Sus scrofa: one gene and its partners. The protein of the gene in region 3 interacts with the protein of the main gene of each other region in a pairwise test. Links are inferred from orthologs where the notes say so. Each region holds a gene or a part of one and is shown on either strand. Other genes may lie near its edges.

Evidence for each region.
Region 1: the proteins of C6H1orf216 (region 3) and NUP62 interact in binary tests that used the Homo sapiens proteins (3 or more experiments, as listed by UniProt). The two-hybrid records come from large-scale screens. The link is inferred for Sus scrofa from reciprocal best matches to the Homo sapiens genes C1orf216 and NUP62.
Region 2: the proteins of C6H1orf216 (region 3) and PSMC6 interact in binary tests that used the Homo sapiens proteins (3 or more experiments, as listed by UniProt). The two-hybrid records come from large-scale screens. The link is inferred for Sus scrofa from reciprocal best matches to the Homo sapiens genes C1orf216 and PSMC6.
Region 4: the proteins of C6H1orf216 (region 3) and MYRIP interact in binary tests that used the Homo sapiens proteins (3 or more experiments, as listed by UniProt). The two-hybrid records come from large-scale screens. The link is inferred for Sus scrofa from reciprocal best matches to the Homo sapiens genes C1orf216 and MYRIP.
Region 5: the proteins of C6H1orf216 (region 3) and AMOT interact in binary tests that used the Homo sapiens proteins (3 or more experiments, as listed by UniProt). The two-hybrid records come from large-scale screens. The link is inferred for Sus scrofa from reciprocal best matches to the Homo sapiens genes C1orf216 and AMOT.
Region 6: the proteins of C6H1orf216 (region 3) and CCDC114 interact in binary tests that used the Homo sapiens proteins (3 or more experiments, as listed by UniProt). The two-hybrid records come from large-scale screens. The link is inferred for Sus scrofa from reciprocal best matches to the Homo sapiens genes C1orf216 and ODAD1.
Region 7: the proteins of C6H1orf216 (region 3) and USHBP1 interact in binary tests that used the Homo sapiens proteins (3 or more experiments, as listed by UniProt). The two-hybrid records come from large-scale screens. The link is inferred for Sus scrofa from reciprocal best matches to the Homo sapiens genes C1orf216 and USHBP1.

What each region holds. Positions count from the first base shown.
Region 1 is NC_010448.4:54,942,752-54,947,082, forward strand, and holds the start of NUP62 (nuclear pore glycoprotein p62), read right to left. Parts: upstream 2,955-4,331; 5' UTR 2,834-2,954; exon of another isoform or gene 2,630-2,833; intron 2,404-2,629; exon of another isoform or gene 2,316-2,403; intron 1-2,315. UniProt on the Homo sapiens protein: Essential component of the nuclear pore complex. The N-terminal is probably involved in nucleocytoplasmic transport.
Region 2 is NC_010443.5:182,327,532-182,331,883, forward strand, and holds the start of PSMC6 (26S protease regulatory subunit 10B), read left to right. Parts: upstream 1-1,538; 5' UTR 1,539-1,636; coding exon 1,637-1,763; intron 1,764-2,793; coding exon 2,794-2,873; intron 2,874-2,968; coding exon 2,969-3,008; intron 3,009-3,254; coding exon 3,255-3,307; intron 3,308-4,352. UniProt on the Homo sapiens protein: Component of the 26S proteasome, a multiprotein complex involved in the ATP-dependent degradation of ubiquitinated proteins.
Region 3 is NC_010448.4:91,887,683-91,892,095, reverse strand, and holds the start of C6H1orf216 (UPF0500 protein C1orf216 homolog), read left to right. Parts: upstream 1-1,592; 5' UTR 1,593-1,806; intron 1,807-4,371; 5' UTR 4,372-4,376; coding exon 4,377-4,413.
Region 4 is NC_010455.5:24,515,011-24,518,668, reverse strand, and holds part of MYRIP (rab effector MyRIP), read right to left. Parts: intron 2,694-3,658; coding exon 2,056-2,693; intron 1-2,055. UniProt on the Homo sapiens protein: Rab effector protein involved in melanosome transport. Serves as link between melanosome-bound RAB27A and the motor proteins MYO5A and MYO7A. May link RAB27A-containing vesicles to actin filaments. Functions as a protein kinase A-anchoring protein (AKAP).
Region 5 is NC_010461.5:92,645,044-92,649,150, reverse strand, and holds the start of AMOT (angiomotin), read left to right. Parts: upstream 1-1,288; 5' UTR 1,289-1,721; intron 1,722-1,784; exon of another isoform or gene 1,785-1,803; intron 1,804-2,754; exon of another isoform or gene 2,755-4,107.
Region 6 is NC_010448.4:53,730,361-53,734,018, reverse strand, and holds part of CCDC114 (coiled-coil domain-containing protein 114), read left to right. Parts: intron 1-40; coding exon 41-123; intron 124-232; coding exon 233-401; intron 402-2,267; coding exon 2,268-2,431; intron 2,432-2,517; coding exon 2,518-2,621; intron 2,622-2,897; coding exon 2,898-2,976; intron 2,977-3,045; coding exon 3,046-3,594; 3' UTR 3,595-3,658. UniProt on the Homo sapiens protein: Component of the outer dynein arm-docking complex (ODA-DC) that mediates outer dynein arms (ODA) binding onto the doublet microtubule. Involved in mediating assembly of both ODAs and their axonemal docking complex onto ciliary microtubules.
Region 7 is NC_010444.4:60,410,266-60,414,586, forward strand, and holds the start of USHBP1 (Usher syndrome type-1C protein-binding protein 1), read left to right. Parts: upstream 1-1,363; 5' UTR 1,364-1,729; coding exon 1,730-1,891; intron 1,892-1,978; coding exon 1,979-2,127; intron 2,128-2,357; coding exon 2,358-2,796; intron 2,797-4,321.

The DNA of each region.
Region 1 (4,331 bases), about 37 Mb from region 3:
GCAGGTGGCCTGGATTTACTCATTTAAATATCAGACAACACTAAGAAGGAGGCACTACGGACAGCCACTTACATCTGTATGTTTCTAGTCACTAAACTCCTGGCACTTTCTGTATGTTTCTAGTCACTAAACTCCTGGCACTTTCTAGTCACTTTTATCCTGGCACTATTTTTTTTTTTTTTTTTGGTTGCGCCCACAAAACTTCCCGACCAGGGACCAAACCCTCACCAAGTAATAACCAGAGCCACAGAGGTAACACCAGATCCCCAACCTGCTAGGCCACCAGAGGACTTCTGTTCTGGCACTATTAATGGAAACCGAGGCACAGCGAAACTGCCAGGAAGCTAATAAGTGGGGTATAGTCAGGGTGTGAATCCAACAACTTGCCTCCAGAGTCTGTGCTCTTAACTACTACTCCATGCCGCCTAGGTAATAATGTGGCCCCAAAGGACAAGTGCTCAAATACTGGCACAGTGGACAGGAAGTACTCTAAGGGAACGGGGTCAGATCCCAAAAAGGGCTTCCTGTAGGAAGAGCAGCCTGTACTGGGTATGTAATATATCAAATGATCAGTATAATTAACACTGCTGTATGTTACATATCAAAGTTATTAAGAGAATAAACCCAGAGTTCCCTTTGTGACTCAGTGGTTAACGAACCAGACTAGGATCCATGAAGATGCAGGTTCGATCCATGGCCCTGCTCAGTGGATTAAGGATCTGGTGTTGCTGTGAGCTGTGATGCAGGTCACAGATGTGGCTGGGATCCTGCATAGCTATGGCTGTGGCTGTGGCGTAGGCTGACAGCTGTAGCTCCATTTCAACCCCTAGCCTGGGAACTTCCATATGCCTCAGATGTGGCCCTAAAAAGCAAAAAAAAAAAAAAAAAAAAAAGAGAGAGAGAGAGAGAGAATAAACCCTTCCATATGTCATACCTTTGGCTCGGATCTGATTCCTGGCCTGTGAACTCATATGCCATGGAGTTGCCAAAGAAAAAAAGAAATATGTATTTTTTCTAAGTATCTATTTATTTACTTTTTTGGGTCTTTTTCGGGGCTGCACCTAAGGCATATGGAGGTTCCAGGCTAGGGGTCGAATCGGAGCTACAGGTGCCGGCTTACGCCACAGCAGCACCAGATCCAAGCCACATCTGCGACCTACACTACCGCTCATGGCAACGCTGGATCCTTATCCCAGTGAGCAAGACCAGGGATTGAACATGCATCCTCATGGATGCTAGTCAGATTCGTTTCCGCTGCACCACAATGGGAACTCCCTATTTCTATATCTTTAATTTCACATCTACAGGAAATGATAAATGTTCACTAAACTTATGGGTAATCAAATTGTTATACTGTACACCTTAAATTTATAAAGTTTAATTATATCTTGAGTAAAACTGGAAAAAAAAAAAGCACATGCACATGGAACAAAACAAAAGAGGCCCATGTATCATTCCAGGTAACTCAAGATCTGGGTCTCCCACCTTTGGATCTTGACTCAGTCTCATAACCACCACCAAAGTCCTGAAAAGTTGTACTCCAGGTGTAACGTCTAGATGTGGATGAATGGGGGAGGAGAGGGGCTTGCAGCAAAGACCCTCGTCTACGGGGTCTGGTGGAAGGCCCTGTGTAATGGGAGGGACTGGCCAGGAAGCCCCATCTCTTTCAGCAAATGGAACTACAGATCTCCCTAAGTCTGGCAAAGGTGGAAAACTGATCTGGGGGTGAGGGTGGGGTGCACGGAGGTAGAAAACCATTTGAAAGGACGTCTAGGTGAGGGGCAGGGACAGAAGAATGAACCAACGGGCCTGAAAGGCGTGCTAAGGATAAGGGCTAAGGGGAAGCCAGCAGGGGATGGACACGAGAGTCTGGGCAATGATGCCTTGCTCCCGGCAGCAGGATGGGGCTGAGCGTCCATCGTTTGAAATGGGGGAGGGCAGGGATGCTAGAGCGAAGGAGACACAAGAATGATCTATTAGCAGGTGTTGGATGGTCGAGTCTGGGGCTCTGGCCAGGGGAGTTGGAAGGGGTGAGACTGGTCCCCAGAGGTCCTTGTTATGGATAATAAAAGCGGTTGGACCAGGCATGAAGGAGGGCTGGTTTCACAGACACCGACTGCACGGATTTTCACAAACGACCCCACTAGGAAGAGGTGATTATTCTCATTTTACAGGTAGTTCCCTATCTACGAGGCTAGAGAATTTAAATTATTTGCCCAAGGCCACCCGCGCCCGTCTGCGATTTGAATGGAGCGCGGTCTGTGACTCAAACCAGATCCTAAGCCACAACAAGGGTTCTCAGAGTGCCGTGGCAGTTGAAGAGATCAGCACGTGGCTGGCCGGAAATTCGTGAAGCAAGAGAAAGGAAAGGAGAAATGAACTCGTGCAGGGATCGGGGAAGAGGTGAGGCTGAACCACCAGAATGAGAGGGAACAGAAAGCCGGACCCCGGATCAGAAGGAGAAAGGGGCCCCACCCGAGTGGGGGTGGTCCAGGGGGTCGGGAGCAAAGCAGGGCCAGATCCTCAGGTCAGAGGAAGGGGAGGGCTGAACGCCCTGGTCGGAAGTGGGGGACAGTCCCCGGGATCCCCGAGGGCTAGAGGCCAAGCCCGCCTCCCGGTTGGGGCAGCGCGGGGCGGGGCGCGGAAGGATCCGGGCACGCCGTGCTGCGCCGCCCCCGGTATATCTGTCCCCAGTCCCCCGGGCCGCCTCATTCCCCATCCTCAGATCACAATCTCTCCTCACAGTACCGCGACACCTCCTCCGCCCGCGTAGCTCCAGCCATGGCTCTGTAGCCGCGACCCCTCTGTGCCCCCGGCCAGTCGCCGTGCTCACCGCGCCTGCGCTCTCCGCTCCTGCCGTCTTTCTTCAGCTGAGGCCACCGCCGCCTCTTCTTTCCGCAGCCATGGAGTGAGTAACCGCTCGCTCGCCCCTCCCTCTCCAACCGTCTTTCCCGCCCTTTCCAAGCTCGCGGCCCTCACCACCGGGCTCGGGGGGGTGGGGAGACAAGAGTGAGGAATCACGGTCGCGCAGGCGCAGAAGAGACAAGACGCTCCGTTTGCGCGCTGCGGAGCATGCGCACTCAGCTGATGGGGGGAGGGTGCGTTCTTCCAGACAATGTTGGCGTTTAAAGACGACCACATGCGTTTGCGCCTGCGCACTAGCTCCCAGAGAGGGTGGGTTTCCCCCCTCCTCCCCGCTCTGATTGAGTCTGTCAATCAGCGATTGCTCAGATCCACCGGCGCTTGTATCTCGGAGCAAAGGGCTGACGAGCAGCAGCCGCACGTGCGCAGCACTGATCCCGAGGAGGGCGGAGCCTTGCGGGGGCAATAGGACAGCTCTGGGGCTGGAGCCTGCGCTTTGGCCCTCGGCGAGACAGCCGTGTACGGGGGTGGGGGGAGGGGGAGTCGGGAGCTGTTCTCATCCCGCCCCCCTCCACCCTCCGCCTCCCTCCAGTTTGCTCAGGCGTAAAAGCACGTCTTCCCTCCCTTTCTTTCAAGCAACTACGGGGGCGGGGGCGGGGGGAGAAGGCGGGGCTTAGAAACGACCAGTTAAGGGACGGGAGCTAGGATAAGAGACGTCGCGGAGGGTGGGGCGGGGGCGGGGTACCCTTTGGGAGAAGGGGCGTGGCTAAGCGCGCCGTGCGCTGAGGGGGTGGGGTTTATATTGAGAAAGAGGCGGGGCCTCTGGGAATCGTCGGGGAGGGTGGAGCTAATAAACCAGGGGGCAGGGCTTGGGGGGACGGGAGACCACTGCAAAATTCGAAGGGAAGAATGGGATTTGAATGGAGGATTTTGATGAAGGGGCGGGGCAGGGGGATTCCCCTGGGAACAGATTCACAGCAGGAATCTAGGGACAGGGTGGGGCCTAAAGGATATGTTTTAGGGCAAGAGGTGTGGCTGGAAGAAAATTCCCCTGGGATTGAGGTTTTTGTGTTTTTTTTTTTTTTTTTTTTCCATGAGAGATAGTATTATGGGGTGGGTGGGAGGGTCTTAAGGTAATTCCCCTGGGACACCATTATGTTTCAATATTGGAAGGATTGGGTCTAGGGAATTCTGAGGAAAAGTAAGTCGGGGCCTAAAGAAAATTCCCTTGGGAATGGGTGGGGTCCCCATTTGAGGAAAGAAAGGGCAGATGTAGAATTCCCAAAAGGTAAGGAATCCTGGGGACCTGAGGGGGTATCGCTTGGTTTCCCCATGGCCTTGGCCGTTGGCGAGGCTGGCCCCTAACCCACTCACTTTTGTCTCCCACTCGTAGGTCCTCCACTCTCGCCTTGGTGCCCGTCTTCGCCCAGCTGAGTAATCTCCAGAGCCTCCTGCCAGCTGTTGGTGCA
Region 2 (4,352 bases), on a different chromosome or scaffold from region 3:
GGATCAAACATGCAACCTAGTGCTCCAGAGACATTGTCTATCTTGTGGCCATAGCGGGAACTCCAGCACAGGAATCTTAAAAACAGTTCTATCTAACTTCAAGTTTCTTAGCTTACTTCAGCCTCTTGAGCCCCTCATTTCTACGACCCGCCCCTTTCTGGTTTTGTTGGTCTCCTTCCTGTTCCAAGAAATGAGTAAATCTCTTTTTCACTTTAAGGTCTTTGTAGCTGCTGTTTCTTCTGTTTGAAAGGTTTTTTTCTACAGTTTGTTGCTTGGCTGGCCCCTTCTTGCAGATATCTGTCCTAAAGTAGTTCTATCTTTCTCTCATTTTCCTCCACCATGGTTTCTTTTCATTATAATACAGTATTTATTACACTTTGAAATTATTATTTTTTATCTCCTCACCAGATCAAACCCTTAGTAATGCCTCATTCACTGAGTAAATAAATGAATACCCTACTCCTTCTGTATCCTGAAATCCTGTGATTTTGGAGAGACAGCAATGAGTGTTGGCTTGGAGAGAGATCTTATTTTTCTGCTCAGGAATTGAACCTGGGCAGCCTGGATAAAAAACCAGGAATCCTAGCCACTAGACTAGCTAGAGGTGAAAAGTAGAATTGCCCTAACTTTTGCCCCTTGTTGAAAGCAAGAACATTTCAGGGAGGCAAAGACTGTGAAAATAGGTATAAAGTTTATTGTTAGAGTCACAGTACAACATATGGGAAAGCACACAAAGAAGCAGTTTAAGTCAGAAGCAGAGAAGTAATACACACCCCAAAGAGGAGTGCGGGTGCAGGCGTCCCCTGAGTGAGGGGCACACCAGAGAGGTGATTTAAATCACTTATATAGCACAATTCTTCTGGATCTTTCTTTACCTTTGGCTAATTATCTTATTTATTTCTCACACCTGACTGGACACAGGACCCTTCCCAGTATATGTGCGTACCTTTTGGTAAAGATGGATTCCAAAGCAAAGTGTGCTAAGCAGGTATCAGGACTTATTATGGCCTGGTGCCTCCTCCTTTTCTGACCCCCTAGGAATCTTACTGTGCATGTGTAATTGGGGAGGTCTTCTTTACCCCAGGAGTGATTAAAGTGGTCATCTTATCTTTCTACTCCAGTAGAGCTCTGCTCCTGCAATTAACTTTTTCCTTGAAGTGCCAAAAAGAAACAAGGCCCAATTTGCTTGACCTAAGAAGTCCCAGCTGTTCTCAGCCCAGGGGCCCATCTACCTCTTACTTCACCTGGATATTATTGTTCTTTACCAAGAAGCTATCCTTGTTTTACTGAGAAGCCAGTAGAGCTATATATATTAGAGAGATATGTATATTCTCTATTTCACTTCCATCTCAGTTTACTACAGCCTTTTGTGGTTCCAAGAGGGCAGTGACTCAAGCATATCAAGGCTTCTCAGATACACCAGATCAGGGCCTTGCTTTACCCAAGCGGACCAGCAGGGGACAGTGTGGCCGGAGGCCTCCTTTAACTCACTGCGGAGCCCTAGTGAAGGAGGCATAGAAGTTCCGGAAGAGGAGTGCAGAGGCGGGCCAACCGGAAGGGGCGGGGTCGCCCGCAAACCCGCCCTTCCAGGGAGGCTGTTCTCCCTCGCCCCGCCCCTTCCCCCGCCCAGGCGGCCATGGCCATTCCCGACATCCCCTATGAGCGACGGCTTCTCATCATGGCGGACCCTAGAGATAAGGCGCTTCAGGACTACCGCAAGAAGCTGCTGGAGCACAAGGAGATCGATGGCCGTCTCAAGGAGTGTGAGTGCACCTTTCTTTCCATATAATCTCGTGTCTGAACTCGCTTCTGTCTATGACAAAGCAGAGGCCTTTGGCCGAGCTCGGCAGCCGAGCACCGGGAATGAGAAGGCCTCGGTCTGGGGACAAGGCGCTTTGTCATCCCTCCCTGTGCTTGAAAAGCGGAGCCTCTTCGGGCGTAGAAATGGCCCAGACTGGTCCAGGTGACAGAGAGAACACCCCCAGTTCTGAGATGGAAGTGTAGATGACCAGAGGAGGAGTGGGGAAGAAGTGGGTCAGGGATGTTTCCCAGTTTGAGGTAAGGAGTGCAGTGTTGTTGGAGTCCTGGGACCCGGAGCGGGGAAAAGAGTTAAGCAAACCAAAGCAAGAGATGAAACTCGGGAAGTTGGCTCGTTAGCGGAGTGGAAAGCCCAACACAGAGCTTTAGAGAGAAGGGATCCATCGGTCAATAATAGCCCTCCTCTTCTTTCGTCGTGTTTTGAGTAGTACTCTACATGGTACACAAAGTTCCCTTTCTTCCTGAACTGAAAAGATTGTTAGGATTTTTTCTTAGTGTACCGTCAGTGAAAAGCCTGAGTGATTTAATTAAATGGGGGAAGACCATAACCATATAATTTTGTGGAGCGCCGCACCTGTGGACTTCATATGGGTTAGAAAACCAGAGAGTAACAATCCGTGTGGGTAAGTGGAGAAGTGAGGAAGGCTCTAACTCTTTTATCATTCGAATTTGTGATCTCAAATTGAAAGTGTCAGAATGTCAATATCTGTTAAAAGTGTAACCTAAAATGTGCTCAAAGTAAGTATTTACGACCAAGAAAAGAAAAATGTGGTAATTTCTCTGCAACATTTCGTTTTTAAACATGTCATCTGCAAACGGTATTGTGCGTGTGTGTGTGTGTGTGTGTGGTTCGATAGAGTGGATATGAAATATATGTAAAGTGAAATAGACTTGAATTTAAGTAAAGTGAGACCTAGTGACAAACACACTGGCTAGGATTATTTAATTTAAAATATTCAAATTATATTATTTCAGTAAGGGAACAATTAAAAGAACTTACCAAGCAGTATGAAAAGTCTGAAAATGATCTGAAGGCCCTACAAAGTGTCGGACAGGTAGGTAATGGAGCTTGGGATGAGAGGGTGATGGTAATTTGCTTTGCTTTTTTAGTTCTTGGCAAAAAGTAATGCTTTTTTTTTTTTCTTTTTAGATTGTGGGTGAAGTACTTAAGCAATTAACTGAAGAAAAATGTAAGTGTATTAGATTGTTAATTGGTAAAGAAAAAAAGAGTAGACTCTCCTCCCACCACCATCTTTTGAAATGCTTATTATTTTTATAACTGTAATGAGGTAGATAACATTCTTGCATAGACTAAATTTTCTTTCAATTATTGTCCTTTGGCGAACAGAGATAAAACTCAACCTTCCATCAGTGTAGGTATATTCATTTTTTTTACTTTGTAGTTTTCAATTTGTTTTTTAATTTTCTTTCTCTAGTCATTGTTAAAGCTACAAATGGACCAAGATATGTTGTGGGTTGTCGTCGACAGGTAACAATTTATTTGTATAGTGCTTTATAACTGACAAAGCACTTTCCTCTAAGTTATTTAATTCTTAAGGTAAGCAAGTCAGGCATTATGCTCATAACTCCCAAAGGTAACTTGTTTAGACATATGTAATTGTTAGCAAAGCCTGAACTATGGATTTGACTCCTGGTAGTTTCTACTTTCTACTGAATTGCATTGCCTCACTAAGTTCTACACACTAAGAAATCAAAGAATTTTAGAACTGAAAAAATACCTCAGATTGTTTCTCTCTTTCTTTTTTTTTTTTTTTGGTCTTTTTTTAGAGCCACACCCATGGCATATGGAGGTTCCCAGGTTAGGGGTCAAATCAGATCTGTAGCCACTGGCCTACACACAGCCACAGCAACGCCAGATCCCAGCTGTGTCTGCTACCTACACTACAGCTCATGGCAACGCTGGATCCTTAACCCACTGAGCAAGGCCAGGGATCAAACCTGCGTCCTTATGGATACTAGTTGGGTTCGTTACCACTGAGCCACAATGGGAACTCCTCAGATTGTTTTAATGTTGACATGAAAGTATTAGACCTTATAAGTAATATTTTATATTTAAATATAAAAAATGTTACTTATATGGTACATATGTACAATGGAATATTACTCAGCTATGAAAAGAATGAAATAATGCATCTTGCAGCAATATGGATGGACTTAGAGATTATCATACTAAGTAAGTCACACAAAGACAAATATCATATCACTTATATGGGTATCTAATGAAAAACAATACAAAATAATTTATTTACAAAACAGAAACAGTCACAGACTTCAAAATTAAACTTTATAGTTACCATAGGGGAAATTGTAGGGAGCGGAGGGATGAATTGGGAGGAAGGGAAATACACACTACTGTATAAAATAGGAATTAACAAGAACATCCTATATAGCACAGGGAAATTTACTCAATAATTTGTAGTAACCTATATGGGAAAAAAGAATGGCTATATGTATAACTGATTCATCTTATTATATACCAGAAACCAATATAATATTATAAGTCAAATATACTC
Region 3 (4,413 bases):
ACGGCATATGGAAGTTCCCAGGCTAGGGATTGAATCAGAGCTGCAGCTGCCAGCCTATGCCACAGCCACAGCAAGTGGGCATCCAAGCCGCATCTTCGACTTACACCACAGCTCATGGCTGGATCCTTAACCCACTGAGTGAGGCAAACCCACATCCAAACCCACATCCTCATGGATACTAGTCAGATTTGTTTCTTCTATGCCACAATGGGAACTCCCTCCGCATATATATTTTTAGCTGGGGGAGTACCCAAAGCTTGAGTTACTTCTTCCTTTTCCGTTTTATTTCCTTTTCTCTCTTAAAATAGTTGTCCTAATCATAAAATGATTTTTCTCTTCCACTTCCTTTATTTTGTTTACAGGATGTGTTGGTGTGATTTAATTTGCCATTTAATCTCTATTGCAGAGTGGGAAGTTAGAATTAAGCTGGGAATGGAAGAGGATGCCTCATCATAGAGATCAGACTCAAATTCTCTTAAAAAAAAAAGCAAAAGAAAGGAGGGGGAAAGACAATGGTATTTTCTAATGTATTACGACTCAAAAATGAATCCATATTAGTTTAGTTGAGGGTTTTTGTTGTTGTTGTTGTTTGTCTTTTGTAGGGCCGCACCCATGGCTTATGGAGGTTCCCAGGCTAGGGGTCCAACTGGAGCTGTAGCCGCCGGTCTACACCATAGCCACAACAACGCTGGATCCTAGCCGCGTCTGTGACCTACACCATGGCCTGCCAGAACCTTAACCCACAGAGTGAGGCCAGGGATCGAACCATAGTCCTCATGGACACTAGTCAGTTCGTTAACTGCTGAGCCACAACAGGAACTCCTAGTTGTGCTTGTTTTTAATTGGCAGGGGGAGGGGGGAGCATGGGGAAGTTATAGCCAATTGCTTGGTTTGTCCAGTAAAGGTGAGGGTGTAGAAGGGATCTTCTGGAAGATCCTATGACCTGAAGGCTAAATTTGTCCCATATTTTTTTCTGGGGCTGCCTCTCCTTAACAGCCAGTGCTTTTCGGTTTTATCAATAGAGTCAGCAATTACTCTGTTCATTAAATGACTTTAATCAGATAAGCACAAAAGAAACATATAACTTTAAATGGTGATAGCTGCTATTAAGAAAAGGAATAAAACACCCTGGAGGATAACATAAAAAGGGGGGACTAATCTGATCTGGGAGGTTAGAGGTTTTTCTGAGAAGAGATCCGAAATATGAGATGGGGGAGAGAATTTTCGGCAGAGAGAACAGTGTGGCAGAAGGGGCGTGAAGCCCAGCTGCAGAGGCGAGGGCACAGGCTGAAGCCGCAGAGGTGAAGCAGGATGCTCAGAGCCCCACGGCTGCTGCCCTAAGGATTTAGCCTGCAATGCGGAAGCCATTGAATGGTTTTAGGCAGGAAGGTGGAGACATGATCAGATTTTCATTCTGAAAATGTCACTGAATGTGCAGTGAGGCAAACCGATCGGAGGGATCCTGTGAACGCAGTTATGAAATAAAACAGAGTCTGCAAGGGCTGGGTCAAAGGTGCCGAAGGCTCAGGAGGCGGTTCCAGCGCTCCGGCCCTCGCGCGGCTCCGCGGAAAACCGAACCGACCCACGTGGGCCTGGCCGCCCCGCCCCGCCGCGCTGACGCCGCGCGACTCCGCAGTCCCGGCCTGGGTGGGAGCGCGACACGAAAACCCGCACCCACGCCCCTGCCCGCGTGGACGCCCAGGCCAAGGGACAACCCCCCCCCGCCCCCGCCACAACCCCGACGGAAGAGTTCCCGCCGCGGGCCTTCGGAACAGAGCTAGCTGGGCGGGCCGGCGCCTCCAGGCCGTGAGTGGGGGCCCGGAGCGGGAGGGTTTGGACCCCTGCCGCAGGGGGCGGGGGTCGCAGCCTCGGCCCAGCTGCCTCTTTGGGGGAGATTAAGGAAGGGCCGTCAGTATCCTCGGTCTCCCGGGGTAGTCTCCTTCCCCCACCCCCTCAAGGCTAGGCAGGAAGGGGGGCTGCCTCCTCCCACCCTTACAGAGCGCCCCACCTCGGCAAATTGCTAATTAGCTTGGAGAGAAACCTGATCCTGGGCTGTCTCCATTCCCATTTTACCGTCTCTGAGAACCCCGTGATTCTTAGTACCACCTCCACTCATCCCAGCTTCCCTCACGGCCCCCGCCCAAGCTTAGAAAAAAAGAAAACATTGGGCCAGGAAGATCTCCAAGCCCCTTGCTTAACAGGATGGAGTGTGTAGGTTACAAAGGGACTGTCCCTAAACCGTTGCTCCTAGGACCTCTTCCCACTACTGAATGTGGGAAGGGTCCCTGCTCCCTCCACTTACACTATCCCTCACTCTTACTGAACCCCCACTTTTTCGAATCCTAGTAATATATGGTCAATAGAAAGCTCTCGTCAAGTAAACACTAATTTTGGGAGAGGTCGGTTGTTGGGGAGGAAGAATAATGGGGCATGCCCTCTTTCCAGGGCCTCAGGATGGAGCAAGCTAGAGGCAGGGGCACCGGGATTGTGCTAGACATGGAGGCTTCAAAGGGCCGGGTCAGGGGAGAGAGGCTTGTCAGTGGGGGAGGGGGTTCCTCTCTGAGCAGAGGGGCGAACCTAGGCTTCAGCTGTAGCCTCTGCTACTGTTGTTGGGGTCTTCCTGAGCATAGATATCCCACTGCAGTCCCCCTCCCCCATTCACACACTCACTCGGCAAGGATCTACTGTACCTGGTTAGTGCCAGGCTCCATACTGGCTCCTGAATATGATGGAAGATATATAGAGGAATTCTATCTCTAGTCACAGAGCCAGAAGTGGAAGCTGCTATTGTAAGACAGATAAAAAAGCAAAACCCCAAAAACTTGAATAGACATTTACTGACCATCAAGAAACAAACATGGGAGTTCCCGTCATGGCTCAGTGGTTAACGAATCCGACTAGGATCCCTGGCCTTGCTCAGTGGGTTAAGGATCCGTGAGCTGTGGTGTAGGTTGCAGACACGGCTCGGATCCCGCGTTGCTGTGGCTCTGGCGTAGGCCTGCAGCTACAGCTCCAATTCGACCCCTAGCATGGGAACCTCCATGTGCCGCAGGAGCAGCCCAAGAAAATGGCAAAAAGACCCAGGGCAGTGGGGATTCAGAAGAAGGCACAGTTAGCTGTGTTAGTGTCTTTTGGGCAGAGGGGAGAATATCCAGATGGCTTAGAGAGGTGGGGCTATTAGAGCTGAGTTTTGAGGTACAAAAAGGAATTGTCTGGGTGGCAAAGGGAGGAGTTTGGAGGGAAGGGGAGAGGAAGGGTAGTGTAGGCCAAGGGAACTGTGTAATGAGAATAATGGTGTGTCCTGAGATCTCTGAGCAGTTTGGGGTGGTGGGAGGGGCAGAGTGGCAAGAAGCAATTCTGGAGCCGTGAGCAGGGGCCAGATGAAGCACGGCCTTGTAGGCCATAAAGGGGTTTAGCCAGAGTTTGTTGGGGGGAGCCATGACAAATTTACTTTTTTTTTTTTTTTTTTGCTTTTTAGGGCCACACCCTGCCATATGGAGGTTTCCAGGTTAGGGGTCAAATCTGAGCTACAGCTGCCAGCCTATGCCACAGCCACAGCCACACAGGATCCGAGCCGCATCTGTGACCTACACCACAGCTCATGGCAACGCTGGATCCTTAACCCACTGAGTGAGGCCAAGGATCGAACCTGCAACCTCATGGTTACTAGTTAGATTTGTTTCCACTGTGCCACACGGGAACTCCCAAAGTTAAATTTTTAACTAGAGGCAGAGAGATCAGCGAAAAGGCCACAGCAGTCAGTAATCCAGAAACAGCCCTAACCAAGTGAAAGCGAGGGGAGATGTATGTACAGACGCACGTTCTCTTTCTCTTTCCCTCTCTGTGTCTCTCTGAGGTTTTTAAGAGAAAGAATTGTCTGAATTTGATGGCTAGTGAGGAGGGAATGAAGCAAGTGAGGAGTCCAGGCTGCTCTTGATTCTTAGCTACAGTGACGGACTGGAGAGTGGGGCCGTCTTGCTGCGGACATGGAACGGGGAGAGCTGGTCTGGACATGGGGAACTTGAGGAACCCAGGCTTGGTTGCAGAATTTGGTAGCTGTCGGGTCTGGGCTGGAGACAGATCTGAGTGCCCCAACACATGGTTGTTCTTGAAGCTACAGCAGAGCATGAGGTCATTTGGGAAGAAGTGCATTAAGAGAAGACAAGCTGCCTCCCAGGGCTAAGGGAAAACCCTGTGAGGAGATGGAAAATCGGCAGACAGAGAGGGGGGAAGAAGACTGCAAAGGAAGGTGTTACCAGAGTGGAGGGAAAGGGGCTGAGAAGGAGAAGCCTTGTCCTGTGGCCAGGTTGTCTCAACCTCAGCAACCCACACCATCCTGCTTTGACTACATTCTTCTGCTTCCCTTTACAGACCAGATGTTTGCCGTCCAGCCAGGGGTTGCTGAGGGGGCTC
Region 4 (3,658 bases), on a different chromosome or scaffold from region 3:
GAATAAAGAGGAAGTTTCAGGCATCTAGTTGTGGGGCATACATAGCATTTCATACCTGCAAGTGAATCATGCAGACAACCCTCAAGAATATTCCTTGGGGCAAAGTAACCCAGAGTTCCTACAAAACAGTCTCCACTTGATTTAGATAATGATTCGCCACTGAATAGAATTTCACATTTCTAATTTATGATCACAACAATCTCACATGTCAGATTTGTAATTGTATTTTACAGAGGAGAAAATTAGAGCTTGGACCGAATTTCTAGGTAATGTACTGGCAGGTCAGGCAGTACTGCTGCTAAATTCTGTGATCCAAGAATCTCTGAATTCATGACTATCTTCATGGGGGCCCCAGGATCAGGGATCTGACTGAGCCAGTCATAGACAGTCACTGTAAAGATGCTGGTGATGTCCCAGGCTGTATCTCCCTGGACCCACGCCACGGGGGACAGTTCCTGGCCCACTGATAGTTTCCCATCTCAGACCTGGATCTCTCTCTTCTCTGAGAGATTTCTCAGGCGTCGTCCATGCAAACCTGGCCGTGTGTGGGTTTTCTGCCCACCTAGGTGGGACTGCGCTCTCCCAGTGGCAGATGGGAGACTGGACAACTGCTCCCCATCTTCTGGTGGGAGAAATCTGAGCTGTGGTCCTCACGGCTTCTCAGCAGGTCCCTGGTGGGATGGAGCCCCAGTTGCCTATACTGTATTCTCATTTCTCCATTTCACTCTTGGGCTTCCTGGGATCTCCTTCCACATAACCTACATCCAGATCCTTGACTCAGGACCTGCTTTTTTGGTGGAACTCAAACTAAGATGCAGGGCATGGTAGCAGGGTACTATAGGAGATGCAGTGACATTCAGAAGGTGGGTGTGGTTTCTCTAGGAGCATAAAAAGTCAAGTTGATAGTCGTGGGAGTAGCAATGATGATGTGTCTACAGAAGGTAAGACACCATAACTAGATCTTCCATCAGGCTCACAGTTGCAAATAGTGCAATCTGTGGCTTATATAAGGTCATTTAAACTTTCCAGGCTACATGTGTCACTTTTGAGTTAAGAAAATATTGCTAGGGGAAGGCCAGAGCTGGCATCTCAAAGTTGAATACTCAGTCCACAGTGATCACAGCCAGGAAGAGGTGAGGGCAAGGATATAGCATGATCACAGGCTTGGAGTGGGGGACAAGCAGGATGTATTCAGAGAATATGAAATTAATCTGGTTGGGGGTCCATGAACTACCTGAAATTGTAAGGTGTGTGTGTGTGTGTTTGTGTACAGGTGCATTTTTCTATGGAGACAATCTAGAGCATTAACCAGGTTCCCAAAGGGGGTTCATGAACTAAACCATGTGGAAGAAGGCACTGAGCACTGAGGATTCTGAGAAGGCTTGTGATGTGAACTAAGAATCACAGAATGTTAGTAAACTGTGCCCTGAGTGATCACATTGAAATACCACCTACTGAGCGCTTGTGCTGTGTACTAGGATAGAGCTCAGCTCTTTATAAAGTTATCTTGTTCACTCACCACAAGCCATTCTTTGAAGTGGGTTCTGATATTATCCCCATTTGACAGATGAGGAAACTGAGACTTAAAATGATGCCTGGCCCAAGGTCACACAGCTGGATTTGAATTCTGGCAGGCTGATTCTAAACCCCATACCTTTAACCCCACACCAGTGGCCCTCAAACTTTAATGCACAGCAGAATTACCAAGAGAGCTTGTTATAACAGAGATGCCTGGGCTCCATCCTCAGAGGTTCTGATTCAGCAGATCTGGGGCAGGGCCTGAGAATTGGCATTTCTAACAAGTTCCCAGGTGCTGCTGCTGCTGTTGGTCTGCTATTGGACACTTGGCAAACTCTCTTTGAACTCTAAGCTCTCATCTCCAGAGAGGAGGATGTGGCACCTCCAAGAGTTGATGTGACGCATCTTAGCAGCCAAACCAAGATGAGACCCTGGATCTGTGGCTTCTGAACCCAGGACTCTATGCCACTCCTGCTTGGAGGAGGGCACAGCCTAGAGAACTATGTGTGTGCACTTGCACACACCCAGCTTTATTACCTGATGTGTGTCCCCCTCTGGAGGATGGGCGTTGGGGGAAGACAGTTCCTTGCTTGGCTCCTCCGAGCCCCCCCGGGCCCTTCTCCACCTTTTAGCCCGCCGATCTGCAGCATGGGGGGCTTCCTCAGGCTCACTGCTGTCTGACGTCTCCCTGCTGGCTGCCTGGGGGTTGAAGTTCACATCTAGCTCTCCCTGTAGGCGCATCTTCTCAGCCACGGGGTTCCTGGGGGCCTTCCTCTGCAACCAGGACAGCCTGGCCTGGTGCCCAGCTTCACGGGAAGAGCCTGCGGAGGAGGTCTCTGAATCAGAGCACATGGCCTCGGGGTTGGGGGAGAGCCCGGAGGAGGCAGAGGCGGCAGAGGGGCCTTGATCTGAGCCCTGGACCTGCATGGGCTGAGGCTGCGGGTGTCTGGGCAGGCCCTGGGGCTGAGGGCACAGCGTGCTCAAGGCCTCCCTCCAGTCAAAGTCTTCCTCACTGTCGGAGCCCATCTCATCATAGGCAGATGCCACACTGGAGGCTGCCTCCAGGGCCTGAAAGGTGCCGCTCTTAGGTTTGACCAGCAGGCGGGTCGGGGGCAGAGCCCCATCCTTGAGGGCCATCCAGTTCCCATCAGGGCTCTGCAAAACTGGGGCAGCACCTACAGGCAGGAGGGAGAGAGAAACGAGAGAGGGCTGTTATCGCCTCAGAGCAGGGGGCTGTTCTCCTCTGTGCCCCTCTTCCTGGAGCACTTCCTGGCCTCCCACCTGATGTAGCCTCCTCCTTCTCTGAGTGGCTGTGACAACCGGAGTGGCTCATTGCACGATCTGGCTTGTGTTCTGGCTGATCAGGCACAGGGCGGAGCCCTCTCCCTGACGACGAGGGCCCTGCGGGAGATCTGGTCTCAGTCATCATCCTGGCCTTCACTGTCCCCAGGTCAGCTTGTGCAGAGGAAAGGGCAGAGGCTGTGAAATCAGAGGGCCTGGGTAGAAAGCTGCTCGTCTCCTTAGCTGCTGTGTGAGTGAGTGTCTGAGCTTGGGGCTCTGGTTGGTGAAAAGGGCACTGGATGAAATGAGGCAAGGCTCATAAAATGTGTTACACGTACCTGCTCAGAGCAAAAACAAATTCTTAACAGCTCTTTCCCCTGGACCCACCAGTGAGGCCACTGTAGGGCAGGGCAAAGAACAAGAACTCTGGATTCAGGAAGAGCCAGGGCTGAGCCCCAGTCATTGCCATTACTAGCAGGTGACCTTGGTCAGAGAGCATCTCTGAGCCTGTTTCCTGACCTGTCCACGGAGACAGTGTGACCTTCCTGGGCTGTTGGGCGATCATTATGTTCACTAGCACATGTGAAGCATCCATCATAGTGCCTGCTACACTGAGGGCCCCCAGCTGTTTTATCTTCTCTCCACTGAATTGGATTATTATTTAACATCCAACTAAGGATCAGCACCCATGTACGCCTTGTACATGTGTATAGCAAGCAGGTAATGTCTATCTCCTATTCAATACTGTGACAATATATTTTCATTGACTGTGTGAACACTCAGAAAAGAGGCTAACCAGGGTGTTATTACCTTTCACATGCTATGGACTCTACTTGTGATAACAGCAGGTCTTCCAGAA
Region 5 (4,107 bases), on a different chromosome or scaffold from region 3:
TTATAGCCTTTTATTTACAGATGGGAAAATTAAGGCTCATAGAAATTAAGGGACTTAAAGTCACACAACTAGCTGATAAGTGCTTGAGTTCGAAGTGAGTTTTTCCCTTAGTTCCAAATTCCAGGTTATTCAATTTCTTTGTGGTTTCGTTTCCTGGTTGTAAAATGGTTGATTTTCAGTGTCCTGAGCGGCTGTTCTCAACCCTGTGTTCTTTAAGCAATACCAATTTTTCGCAGCCTGGAAATGTGAACGCCACATTGACACTTCTCGTACTTTTTTTCCTCCTCTTGGGCTAAAGAATTAGGGAGGAAGAAAAGTTACCTATTCCCAGAGGGCCGAGCAGTGCCACAAAGGTGTACTAGAGCCGGCCAACACTCTATCGCACTCTCTTAGGAGACTGAGAGACCAAGCGTCTCATCTTTCTTTCCGCAGCAATAGCTGGGGAAGAACCGAGAGCTAGACAATAGCCGCTTGTTTAGTTTTATTAATTTTGAGGGCGGGTGGGACAAAAGGATCGGATCGACGACGCAAGTGACCAATCGCAAGCGAACCCTAGGCCAGGAGTCGCCAACCGGGAACTGCCAAAGAATGGTGGGTGGGACTTACTCCTCCGGGCCGGCTCCGCCCAAGCCGGCCCTTCCTGCCCGCCCAAGAGGCGGAGGCTCCGCAGAGCCCCGCCCCCGCCACCCTAGCGGCCAGCGCGGCCAGCCGCGGGAGCGGGGCGGGGACGTAGGGTGGCGCGGGGGAGGAAGGGGGTGGCTGGGGGAGCGGAGGAAGAAAGGAGGGTGTCTCGCATAGTTGCGACCTGGGTGGGGGCCTGCTGGTCATAGGAAGCAAGAGGGGAAGGAAAACGGAGGAGCGCTGCTCCTTCCTGCATTATTTTAAGCAAGCTTTGCCTGAAGCTGCTTTTCAGCGTTTCTATTATTTGTTTTTCTTCCTCCCGCTGTGGGGCGGGGAGCTGCACTGGTTCTCCCACGCGACTCCGCTGCGCAGTTGCCGTACACTATTATTGGAGTCTTTGCAAAACCCTTTCCTTCCTCCCAGTCAGTCCTTGTGTAGACTCTCAGGGGTACTGTAACCGAGTCGAGCCGGGTTAGTGGAAGGACCAGAGAGTGCAACCCCGGCTTTCGCCTAGCGGCCGACCCTGGCGTTCAATTGTTTGAAACTTCCCCGCCCCCTGGCTCCGCCTCTCCCCCCCCCAACCCCGTCCAAGCTACTCCCTTCCTTCTTTCCCCGCCCTCTACTCCGCCCCACTCCCTAGTCCACCTCCCCTTCCCCCCCCCTCTCCTGGGCGGTCCTTGCCGCTCACCGCAAGAAGAAAAGCCACCCATTCGTCCCCCTCCCCTACCTCCAATCCTTTGCCCAGGAGCTGCCTTGATCGCAGTCACGCCCCTTCCTTCCGAGGAGATTTCTGGCTGCCCAAGCTGGTAGACCCCCTGATTTATTCCTCCATCTCCGCTCCCTTTCGCCTCATCTTCTCTTAGTTCTCACCGCCTCCTCCACCCCCACCTCCAGTCTGTCTCGCCTCCGACCATCCGCTGCTCCACCCTCCGGCCCGGTATCCTGCTTGTCCACTGCCACCAAGGAGAGCCCGGACCGAGCAGCGAGGAGGGGAGCAGCCGGGAGTTGGGGCTTCCCTCCTGCCCATCCCTGGCCTCCGGCCTGGGACGGAAGCCTCTTGAGCGAGCAGAGTCGTCACCTTGTCTTCGTTGCTTACAGGGGTAGGAGACGCGTGGTTACTTTTCGCGGGGATCTGGGGCAGGAATCCATGGTGGCATGAACTTGATCGTAACCTCAGCATGAGTGAGTCAATCTAGATGCGTGTGGGGATGCCTGTGTGTTCTACTTTCTTTGCAGCTGGCCGCGAGTTTTCCTGGATGTGCAGCAAGTTAAATAGGTTAAAGAGTGTGCGCTCCTTTCCAGTCCCACAAAGATGCTAACGGGTACCACCACTCGATGGTACTTTTACTCTCTTGCTTCCTGGGGTCCTTGTAGGTCTCTAGGTAATTAAGCACAAAAGGAATTAAAGACCAGAGGGAACTTGAGGTCTAGTAGGATTTAACTCATCAGGAATGTCCAGGCTTATCTCAGATTGTTAGATGCTTACTCCTAAATGCTTGGGGTTGAGCTGGCGGCTCACACTCCCCTCCCTGGGGGCTGTGAATTCTTGAAGTTAGTCTGAAGTGATCTACAATGCTACACTCTTTTAGGTATATATATATATGTGTTTGTGTGTGTGTGTGTGTGTGTGTGTGTGTGTGTGTGGTGAGGAGGGGGTTGCCACTACAGATGTTAGTAACTAGTTTTATTGGATCTTGCAGGTGCTTGAGGGTCCCAAGCCTGGGTCACTATATGATGGTTCTTCAACAGCAAGATGGGCTTATCAGTGTATGAAAATGAAAAGAAGGCAAAAAGTGAGAGGGAAAGTGACAGTCTTTTATAGACTGAGCTTTCCCTGGTAAATTGCCGCTAATAATAATATAATAATAATTTGCAGCAAGGGACTAAATACAATTAAATGAGAGAGGGAAGGGACAGTTTGTGAGAAACAGCATTCCAATCTCTAGCATGCATTTTGGAAAGAATTTTCTGACACCTTGGAGTGTCTAATTTAGTTTTCCTTCCTCCTCCCTCTCCTCCCCCACCCCCATAAAGAGTGGAAGTTGGGAGGCAAATTAAAACTTTTAAAAATATAACCCTCTTCTCCCATTCAGAAAGGAAGATAATTAGTCACCATAATCTTCAATAATGGAGGGCTCAGGGTATTTAAGTCTCCTTGAACTAGGCTTTGTGAAAAGTCCTTTCTCAGGACAGCCTTTGTGAAGCTTTCTCAGTTAGACCTTTCAGCACCCTCATTTAGTAGCTAAGAATAGTTTGAAATACCATTTTGGAAGTGGGATAAATCTTTACCCATCTCCCATCTACCTCCTATTGAGTAAGCATGGCAAACTCATAAGAATGGTGGTGCTTGAAGACCTATTACCAAGAGGTCCTCAACGCATTGCTTATTTGGGAACATATTATTTACTTATATTTTTACCTAATTTCGTTGGTTGATTTTAATGGGGGAAAAGAAAGCAGGAAGGAGTGAAGGAATGCTACAGGGTGACAATTTTAAAGGCTATCATATTTCAGATCGGCTGGGAAGGAAAAGTTGGCCTGACCAAACTAGATTTTATAACTGGCCTGGGACATTTTAATAGCCAGGTGGTTGTAGAGTAGTTGCATCTATTTACAGATGATAACTCAGGTTCCAGCTATTCTGTATGGGTTTATCCGGTGTCATTTGCAGACACTTTCTGGCACTACCTCATACCTCATTTTAAGATACTTCTTTCTTTGGAAAAGTCTGTGGCTCCGTAAAATTGAAAGTGCTTTTTCTTACTTCATAGACAAGATACGAAGTAAACCTCTGACCATACTTATATAGAGAGTAACTTTTACGTGAGAAATTGCGGCTCTGTTTACCTATTTAAAAGATTTTCGAAGGGAATTTTAAAGTTCACATTCAATACTCTTTTGGACTTGGAAATTGAAATCTCATTTCCGGTTTATGAAATAGGATTTATAGACTAATGAACCCTCCCCAAGCATTTTGTGTGGTTGCTTTTTCTGAAGTTTTGTAAAGAACGAATCAGTCTCTTTCTAGAATGCCTTAAGAACAGTCTATTCAGAAAGCAGAGGGATGGATGCTATGACCTTGAGGTCCCATTGAGTGCCAGAATTCTAAGTGGGTACATCTGCTTCTGTGCCTCTCCTAAGAGCCCTCTCCCAGGGCCCGCGCCTTCTTTAAAAGGGTGTCTTTGTAATTAAGCAGCCTCTCTCCCCCATCCCCCTTTCTTCCTTTGATCCAGCTTTTTAAGGCCTTTTTTCCATTTGGAGACAAGAGGAGTTTCTCACACTCTCCTACTCCCCTCTTAAGATTTCTTTTCTTCCCCCCTCCAAAAAAAAGTGCCCCGAAGTTCTCAGGATGGTTAGAAATTGTTTTGTTCTATTGGGGTGGGGGTGTTACCAATGAAGAGGTGTTGAGGATATATTCCCTCTTGAGAAATGTTTGTGACCAGGTAGCCTCCTCCATGGAGACTGAGCATTTGGAATGCATGAGAA
Region 6 (3,658 bases), about 38 Mb from region 3:
TGTCCCTGTCTCTTTGGCCCCTGCCTTTCCCGCCCGGCAGTGGAGGAGCGGAACTTCGCGGAGTTCAACTTCATCAATGAGCAGAACTCGGAGCTGGAGCACCTGCAGGAGGAGATCAAAGAGGTGAGCGGGACCGCACCCTCCCCAGCTCCACGCAGATTGCCCCCTCCACGTCTCCTCCTTCACGCCCCCTCCGGAGCTGGGCCCAGTGTGGCGCCCCGATCGATGGCAGATGCAGGAGGCCTTGGTGAGCCGGCGCCGCAGCGAGGAGGACCGGCGCGCTCAGCAGGAGCAGCAGCGGACTGAGTTGCAGCAGCGCGTGGACGAAGTGCACACGGAGGCCGAGAACCTGGAGGCCCGCTTCCAGGACTTTCGCGGGCAGCTGGAGGCGCTCAAGACCGGTGAGCAGCCGCTCGGCTTCCTCTTCTGGAAGGATGCGATGAGCAGTCGCAGAGCCAGCCCAAGGCGGGCCATGTGGAGGCATTATACGGACCGCCTTGTGCACTGCCTTGTCGGTTTTTCCCCTATCCATCCATCACCCATCCTCCTCATGCAGAGTGCTCGAGAGTCAGGCTGCCCTGGCTTTGAATCCCAGCTCCACTATTGTGAACCTTGGCGTGTGGTTTCCTCCGTGGAAGCCCTTCCGGAAGTGGGCTGGCAGAGTGCACTTCGTAGGGTTGTCATGAGAATTAATGGGATGATGGGTGGAGAGAGACAGAGGTGGGGGTGGTAACAGGGAGCGAGCAGGCAGCCACCTCGTGCTGCACAGTCAGAACCAGCAGGCCTTCTTTCCCTTTGTCTCAGGCACTGTGATGCCAAGCGCTGTGCTAGGTGATGAGGGCCCGGCAGGGAGGGGGTGGGAGGAGACAGATATGGGCACTGGGTACTTGTAACCCAGGGGCTGGGGTGGAGGACACCCTGGGCCCTTCAGAAGCAAGAGGGTGCCTTAACGCGGGATGCAGGACCATAATTTGGGGGGCCCAGTGCAGACTGAATTTGTGGGGCCCCTCGTTTAAAAACCGGCAAGGACTTCAAGTGGCAGTAACAGAGCATCAGACCAAATGTGGGGCCCTGCTGAGCACCGGGCCCTGTGCCCGTGCATCTGGCTCTGCTGGAGTCGCAGGAAAAGGAGGGTCTCCTGGGAGCAGCGATGCTTCAGGTGGATTTCGAAGAATAAGTATTTAACTGAAAAACGGGACGGGGAAGGCTCCCAGCAGGTGGGGCCAAGGCTTGGAAGTGCATTTGAGGACCGTAGGCTTTCTGTGTGGAGGGGGATGTCAGGGTGCGGGGTGGGAGTTCAAGAGATGCCAGGCGGGGGCACTGGAGCTTTTTCCTGGGGGTGCTGGGGAGCCATGGTTGGTCTGTGAGCAGGAGAGAGTGGGGTGGGGGGGAGGGGGCTGAGGATGGAGAGGAGGGGACAGAGCACAGAAGGTCTTGGCTGATAAACCCTGGGGTGGGTGAGGCACACAGGGTCTGGCATGGTGAGGGTGACGTGCGGACCTGGGAGAAGAAGCCCCTGTGGCCCTGAGCTCGGTGAGCTCGGTGTGAGCACTGCTGTGGGATGTTTTGGGAGGGACCATGGGAGGAAACTGCATGTGAGCCCAGAGCTCAGGTGGAGGAGGCAGGGGTGTGTGATGAGGCTGTGGTGGATGCAGGTCTTTGGCCATGACCCTGATGTGTGGAAGTTCCAGGGCCAGGGATCAAATCCTCATCACAGCGGAGACTGGAGCCACAGCAGGGACAATGCCAATCCTTAACCCGCTGTGCCACCTGGGAACTCCCGTTGGCTGCAGGGTTTCGTCAGAGTCATGGGCGCCTTCTTATTTCAGTCACAAAAACCAGTTCACTAGGTGCAAGGGAGCCACGCACGGGCCGTTGTGACAGCGGGTCAGGAACGCAGCCTCGGCGCCCTTGGGGCGCCTATGCGTGTTTCTGTGGGGGAGACACCCTGGGCTGCGGACTCGCGGGGTTGGTTAGAAGTTGGGTGCTTCTAACTGCGCCGGGTGAAGACATCTTTCCGTGTGGCGGTGCCCTTCTCACGTTTCCCTCTGACCTCCCTCCCTTCTGGCCTCCTGTGGTCCCGAGCCCCGGGCAGGGCCCCAGCGATGCCCTCTCACCGCCGGACATCTGATCGCTGGCATGTCCCTTTCCATCTTTGAGCTTCGCCTGCGGTCCCCGCGGCCCAGGCAGCAGGGACTTGAGGGGGAAGAGAGGGAGGGCCTCCAGGGGACACCGGATCGGTGACCGCCTGTCCCCTCTGACCCCAGCCATCCAGCGCCTCTTCACCAGGGCCCAGTGTGACAGCACACTCATCAATGACCTCCTTGGGGTCAAGACCCAGATGAGAGACCGGGACATAGGCCTCTTCCTGGGCCTCATCGAGAAGCGGCTGGTGGAGCTCTTGATGGTGCATGCCTTCCTGGAAACCCAGGTCCGGGTGCAGAGGGCGTGGAGGGGGGCAGGGAGCCGAGGCTCGGAGGTGGGTGTGCGGGGACCACTGGCTTCTCCTTCCTCCAGAGCTACCCCTTCACCAGCTTGCCTAGCGCTGCCCTCATGGTGCTGGGCCAGAGCCCCGAGGAGCTTCTCAAGAAGGTGGTCCTGCCTCTGCCCCCTGACAATCTGTGAGTCAGAGGGCAGGAGAGTGGGGGTGGGGATGGAGATCCCACGGGGACGGGGGGACACATGGGGGGTTCTCTCAGAGACTGGAGAGTGGGGGTGGCTGGGGCGGGGGGAGAAGATGGACTGGGTGCTCTTCGGGAAGCAGAAGGAGAAAGGGGGCAGGGCGCTCGGGGCTGCCCAGGGCCCAGTTGGGGGGGGTCTCTGGGCCGAGCTATGAGGAGCCATCGGCCTTCAGAGGATGGAGAATACAGTCGGGGCCTGCCTTCCCCCCACTTTAGGGAAGAGCCCCCGGGCTTTGAGGCCAGAGACGACTATCCGCTGAGCAAGGAGGAGCTACTGAGCCAAGTGGTGAAGTCGGTGAGAAGGGGCGGCGCGGGGTGGGGGGAGCTCGGCGGCCTCGGGGGCCCTGACCGGCCTCCCCCACAGCTGAAGGTCCAGGAGCAGGCGCGGGAGCAGCACCTCAAGGAGTTGGCCGAGGCCGTTAAGAAGGTGGACAGCACCCCAAGCATCACCTTCTCCCAGAAGGCCAGCTCCAGCACCCGCCTGCTGCCCAAGAGCCCCAGCGCCATCCCGGGGTCCATCATGAGCCACAGGACTAGCGGCATCCTGGTGGCCGGCGGAGGCCGCGCCCCCAGCTCCAATGTCGGCCACGTCACCTTCGGGGAGCCCAGCTCCAGTGCGGGCCGCATGACCTATGGCTCCACCAGTGCCACCGGGGCACTGGCGTCCAGCCGGAGCTCGACTGGGGGGCGTGTGACCTTCAGATCCCCCAGCTCAAGTAGCTACCTGGGGTCCACTGGCTACTTGGAGTCCAGCAGGGGCCACGAGAGCTTTGGCGGCCTGGAGAGCAGAGGCCCTGGGTCCGAATCAAGCGGAGGCCTCGGGTTCAGCAGAGGCCAGGTCTCAAGCACTGGCCCAGCCTCTAGCACCGGCCAGGGCTCCACCACCAGCAAAGACTCCCGGAGCAATTACTAGGGGCACCCAGCCCTCACCCTACCCCTGGTGACTTACAGGGCCTTCTCTGTGTCTCTGCCTCCCA
Region 7 (4,321 bases), on a different chromosome or scaffold from region 3:
ACACACACCCACACACACAATGGAATACTACTCAGCCATAAAAGAATGAAATAATGTCATTTGCAGCAACATGGATGGACCCAGAGATGATCATACTAAGTGAAATACACACACACACACACACACACACACACACACACACACACACACACAAAGCAAGGTGGTCTCTTGTGGCACAGCAGGTTAAGGATTGGGTATTGTCACTGCAAGCTGCTTGGGTTGCTGCTATAATGCAAGTTCAATCCCTGGCTCAGGAACTTCTATATGCCACAAGCACAGCCAAAAAAAAAAAAGTCAGTCAGACAGAAAAAGACAAATATCATGTGATATCATTTTATGTGGAATCTAAAAAAAAAGATGCAAATGAACTTATTTACAAAACAGAAATAGACTCACAGACATAGAAAGCAAACTTACAGTTACCAAAGGGGAAAGGTAGGGAGAGGAATTAACAGACACACTACTGTATATAAAATAAACAAGAAGGACCTACTGTATAGCATAGGGAACTGTATTCAATATCTTATAATAATGTATAATGGAAAGAACCTCAAAATAACTTTAAAAGAATATATAGTATATATACACATATATAACAATCACTTTGCTGTACACTTGAAACTAATATAACATTTTAAATCAATTAAACTCCAAGAAAAAGTTGTTGATATTGGGAAAAAAAACAAAAACCAAAAACTCCTATGACACTGTAGGAAGATAAGGAAATTGAGACTCAGAGGGGATCATTACTTGCTCAAGGTTACCAATCCCAGGTCTGTGACTGAAGTGGAACAAAAATTTTGACCCTGGAGTTCCCGTCATGGCTCAAGGGTTAACAAATCCAACTAGGAACCATGAGGTTGTGGGTTTGATCCCTGACCTTGCTTGGTGGGTTAAGGATCCGGCATTGCCGTGGGCTGTGGTGTAGGTTGCAGACGAGGCTCAGATCCCTCGTTGCTGTGGCTCTGACATAGGCTGGTGGCTGCAGCTCCGATTTGACCACTAGCCTGGGAACCTCCCTATGCCGAGGGAGCGGCCCAAGAAATTACAGAAAAAAAAAAAAAAAAAAAAAAAAAAAAAGAATTCTGACCCTGACAGGCAGAGAAAAGAAGTTTGCAGGGGAGCAAGATGAAGAGCATCAGCTCAGGGGAACATCCTGGCTTCTGGGAAATTAAATCCAAGAGTCAGAGATGGAGGAGCCATGGGCTTGGTGAGACAAGGAGGGACTGACATCCTGGGAGCTAGACATGTGTCCTCCTGCTGGGGCTCGAGGAAGCCTCTGTCCTTCAGGAGGAAACTGCACAATAACAAGTCACATGGCCCTGGGAGGGGGTTTCCTGTTTTCCGGCCCCTCCCAGGCTGGCCTTGGCCAGCCCAAGTCTGAGCAGGCAGTAGCCAGAGTTACCCCAAGAGTGTCCAAGGACTTGGTCCTCTGACCAAAGTGCCCCCAGAGTAATAGAGAAGTAGAGCAGGCTGAGGGGACCAAACCCCAGGATTGGAACTTCCGGTTCAGGAGAGCCCTGGCAGGGAGAGGGGACCATTGAAGTCCTTGCCATAAGCCCAGATAGGGGAGGGAGGGGAACAAAGACGCAGTGAAGAATAAGAGAGGCAGAGGAGAATGGGGAGGTCAGGGCAACCTTGAGAGGTAGTGAGCTTCCCGTCAAGGGAGGCATTTAAAAGTGCCAAACCATCATTGATAACTCAAGATCCTTCCAGAGAAGTGAAATCGATGTCCATTACACAGAAGAAATTGAGGCTGGCATTCACTTTGAGTTGGGATCAGGTTGTGATTTTAGGGGGTGAGGAAGACTCAGAAGACACTGATTTCTGGATAACAATGAGTGCCAGGGCCACGCGGCCCCGAAGCCGGCGAGGGAGGCATGCTTTGCCCGTAAGTGTCCCCTGTCCCTGCCACACCCATCTCTGTGGGACCTCAGGACCCAGACCTGCCTGGCTCAGTCCTAGGGATCATTTGCAGGGTGAGCTGGACCCTGTGGCAGAGAGTTCAGAGGAGGCCGAGGCAGCCAGTGGGAGCTCTCACCTGGGCCCTGTGCCATCTCAGGATAGCTGTAAGCCGGAGCTGCTGGGCCATGAGGTGGAGGCCAAAGCAAAGAGCCTGGAGAGCAGGTAAGGCCTGTTTGTCCTGTGACCCCTACTCCAGGCTGGGCACATCTTTCCCACCCATAGATCTGTTTATGTCCCTCCCCTACTCACATGCATGTCATGGCTCCCACTGCCCTCAGCCTGACTTTCAAGGCCCTGTGCAATGCAGTCACAGCCTTGTTACAAAGCCTCTGTGTGTTAGCCACCCCAGATGACCCCATTTCTAGAACTTTCCATCTCTCACCTCTTCACAGGCCTGACAAAGAAGTTGATGGGGACTCTCACGGGGGGCCAGCTCTAGCTCCAGAGAGGCCCCATGAGCCTGCAGAGGAAGCCCGTCATGCCCCAGAGGCAGCCCCACGGGAAAGGGAGACCAGCCCTTCTGAACCTGGAGCCCCCGATGTGTTTCAGACTCTACAGCATGCTCTGAGCTCTCTGGAAGCGGCTGCTGCTGCCTGGCGCCACAGGCCCCCAAGCTGTGCTGGGCCAATGGAGGCAAAGGACAGAAGCGAGGGGGGACCGATGCCAGGCTTGGAGCAGGAGGGGGCTGGGAGCTGCCAGCGGGAGGCAGCCCGATTGGCTGAAAGGAACACCTGGCTGCGTTTGGCCCTGGGCAGCCGCGAGGACGAGCTGATCCGCACCCAGTCCTCCCTGAAGGCCTTCCAGGCTGAGAAGGAGAGGCTGCAGAGAGAGGTGAGTGGGGCAGCCTGCCTCCCAGGGTTCCCTGTGTGAGGGAGGAGGCGGTTTGGCACAGGACATGATCAAGTTCAATCATTTGTGTATTTGTAAGGCTTTTATGGAGGCTTGGCTGCTGAACCACAAACAGACAAAGGTTGCTTGCAATCTTAGGTAAAGTGATCAGGGAGGCCCACTGAGGAGGTGACACTTGAATAAAGACCACAAGGAGGGGAGTTCCTGTTGTGGTGCAGTGGAAATGAATCCAACTAGTATCCATGAGGATGCTGGTTCAGTGGGTTGGGGATCCGGGGTTGCTGTGAGCTGTGGTGTAGGTTGCAGACGAGACTCAGATCTTGCAGTGGCTGTGGCTGTGAAGTAGGCTGGCACTGTAGCTCCGATTTGACCTCTAGAAACACACACACACACACACACACACACCACACACACACACACACACACACACAAGGAGGCAAGGTAGGAGCCATGCTAGTGTTGGGAAGAGCATTCCAGGCAAAGGGAACAGCATATGTAAAGGCCCTGAAGTTGAAGTGTGGTTGATGTGTTCAAGGAACAGTGAGGAGATCGGTGTGGGGCTGAGTGGGAGGATACAGGGTATGAAGGTGATGGGGGCAGATTCTTCAGGGCCTGTGGGTCACAGGGAGGATTTGAGCTTTTTTTTTGCTCTGCAGTAGGTGAGAAGCACAGAGGATTATGAAGGAGGGAGGGTTGAGACCTCACGCAGGCGCCCTCTGGCGGCTGTGGGAGGAACCGCTGGTGGAGGGAGAGGGTGGAATCTTGGAGATAAGGGAAGAGACACTGGTCCAGAGGTGTATCAATGGAAGTTGTGCAGGTGCCTAGAAGAGGGCAGGTTCTAGATAATGTTGAAGGTGGAGTTGGCAAGCGTGGGTGTGAAAGCTAGAGAGGGCTTGAGAACGAGTTCTGGGTTGGGGGTTTGGGAGACTGCAGTGGAGGCATGGGGAGTCTACCAGAGGGGCAGTTTTGGTGGGAGGGAAACCCGAGTTGTGGTCTCTGATTAGCTCCAGATGCCATGAGCCACCCACATGGGGCCATTAAAAGAACAGCTCTAGGAGTTCCCATCGTGGCTCAGTGGTTAACAAATCCGACTAGGAACCATGAGGTTGCGGGTTCGATCCCTGGCCTCTCTCAGTGGGTTAAGGACGCGGCTTGGATCTGGCGTTGCTGTGGCGTAGGCTGGTGGCTACAGCTTCGATTTGGTCCTTAGCCTGGGAACCTCCATATGCTGTGGGAGCGGCCCAAGAAATGGCAAAAAGACAAAAAAAAAAAAAAAAAAAAAAAAAGGAACAGTCCTACATCTGAGTTCAGAACTCAGCAGATGTCAGAGTGAGAAGGACCCAGGTGGTGACACTAGGGGTTGCAGGTGCCAGTGCAAGGAGTGGGGCCCATTTCCCTACAGAGTGGGGCCCATTTCCAAGATGGAAAAGAAAAATATATTTTAAAAAATGTTTGCCTACCCCCTACCCCCTGCCTCTGGCAAATATCAATCTGTTCTCTGTATCTG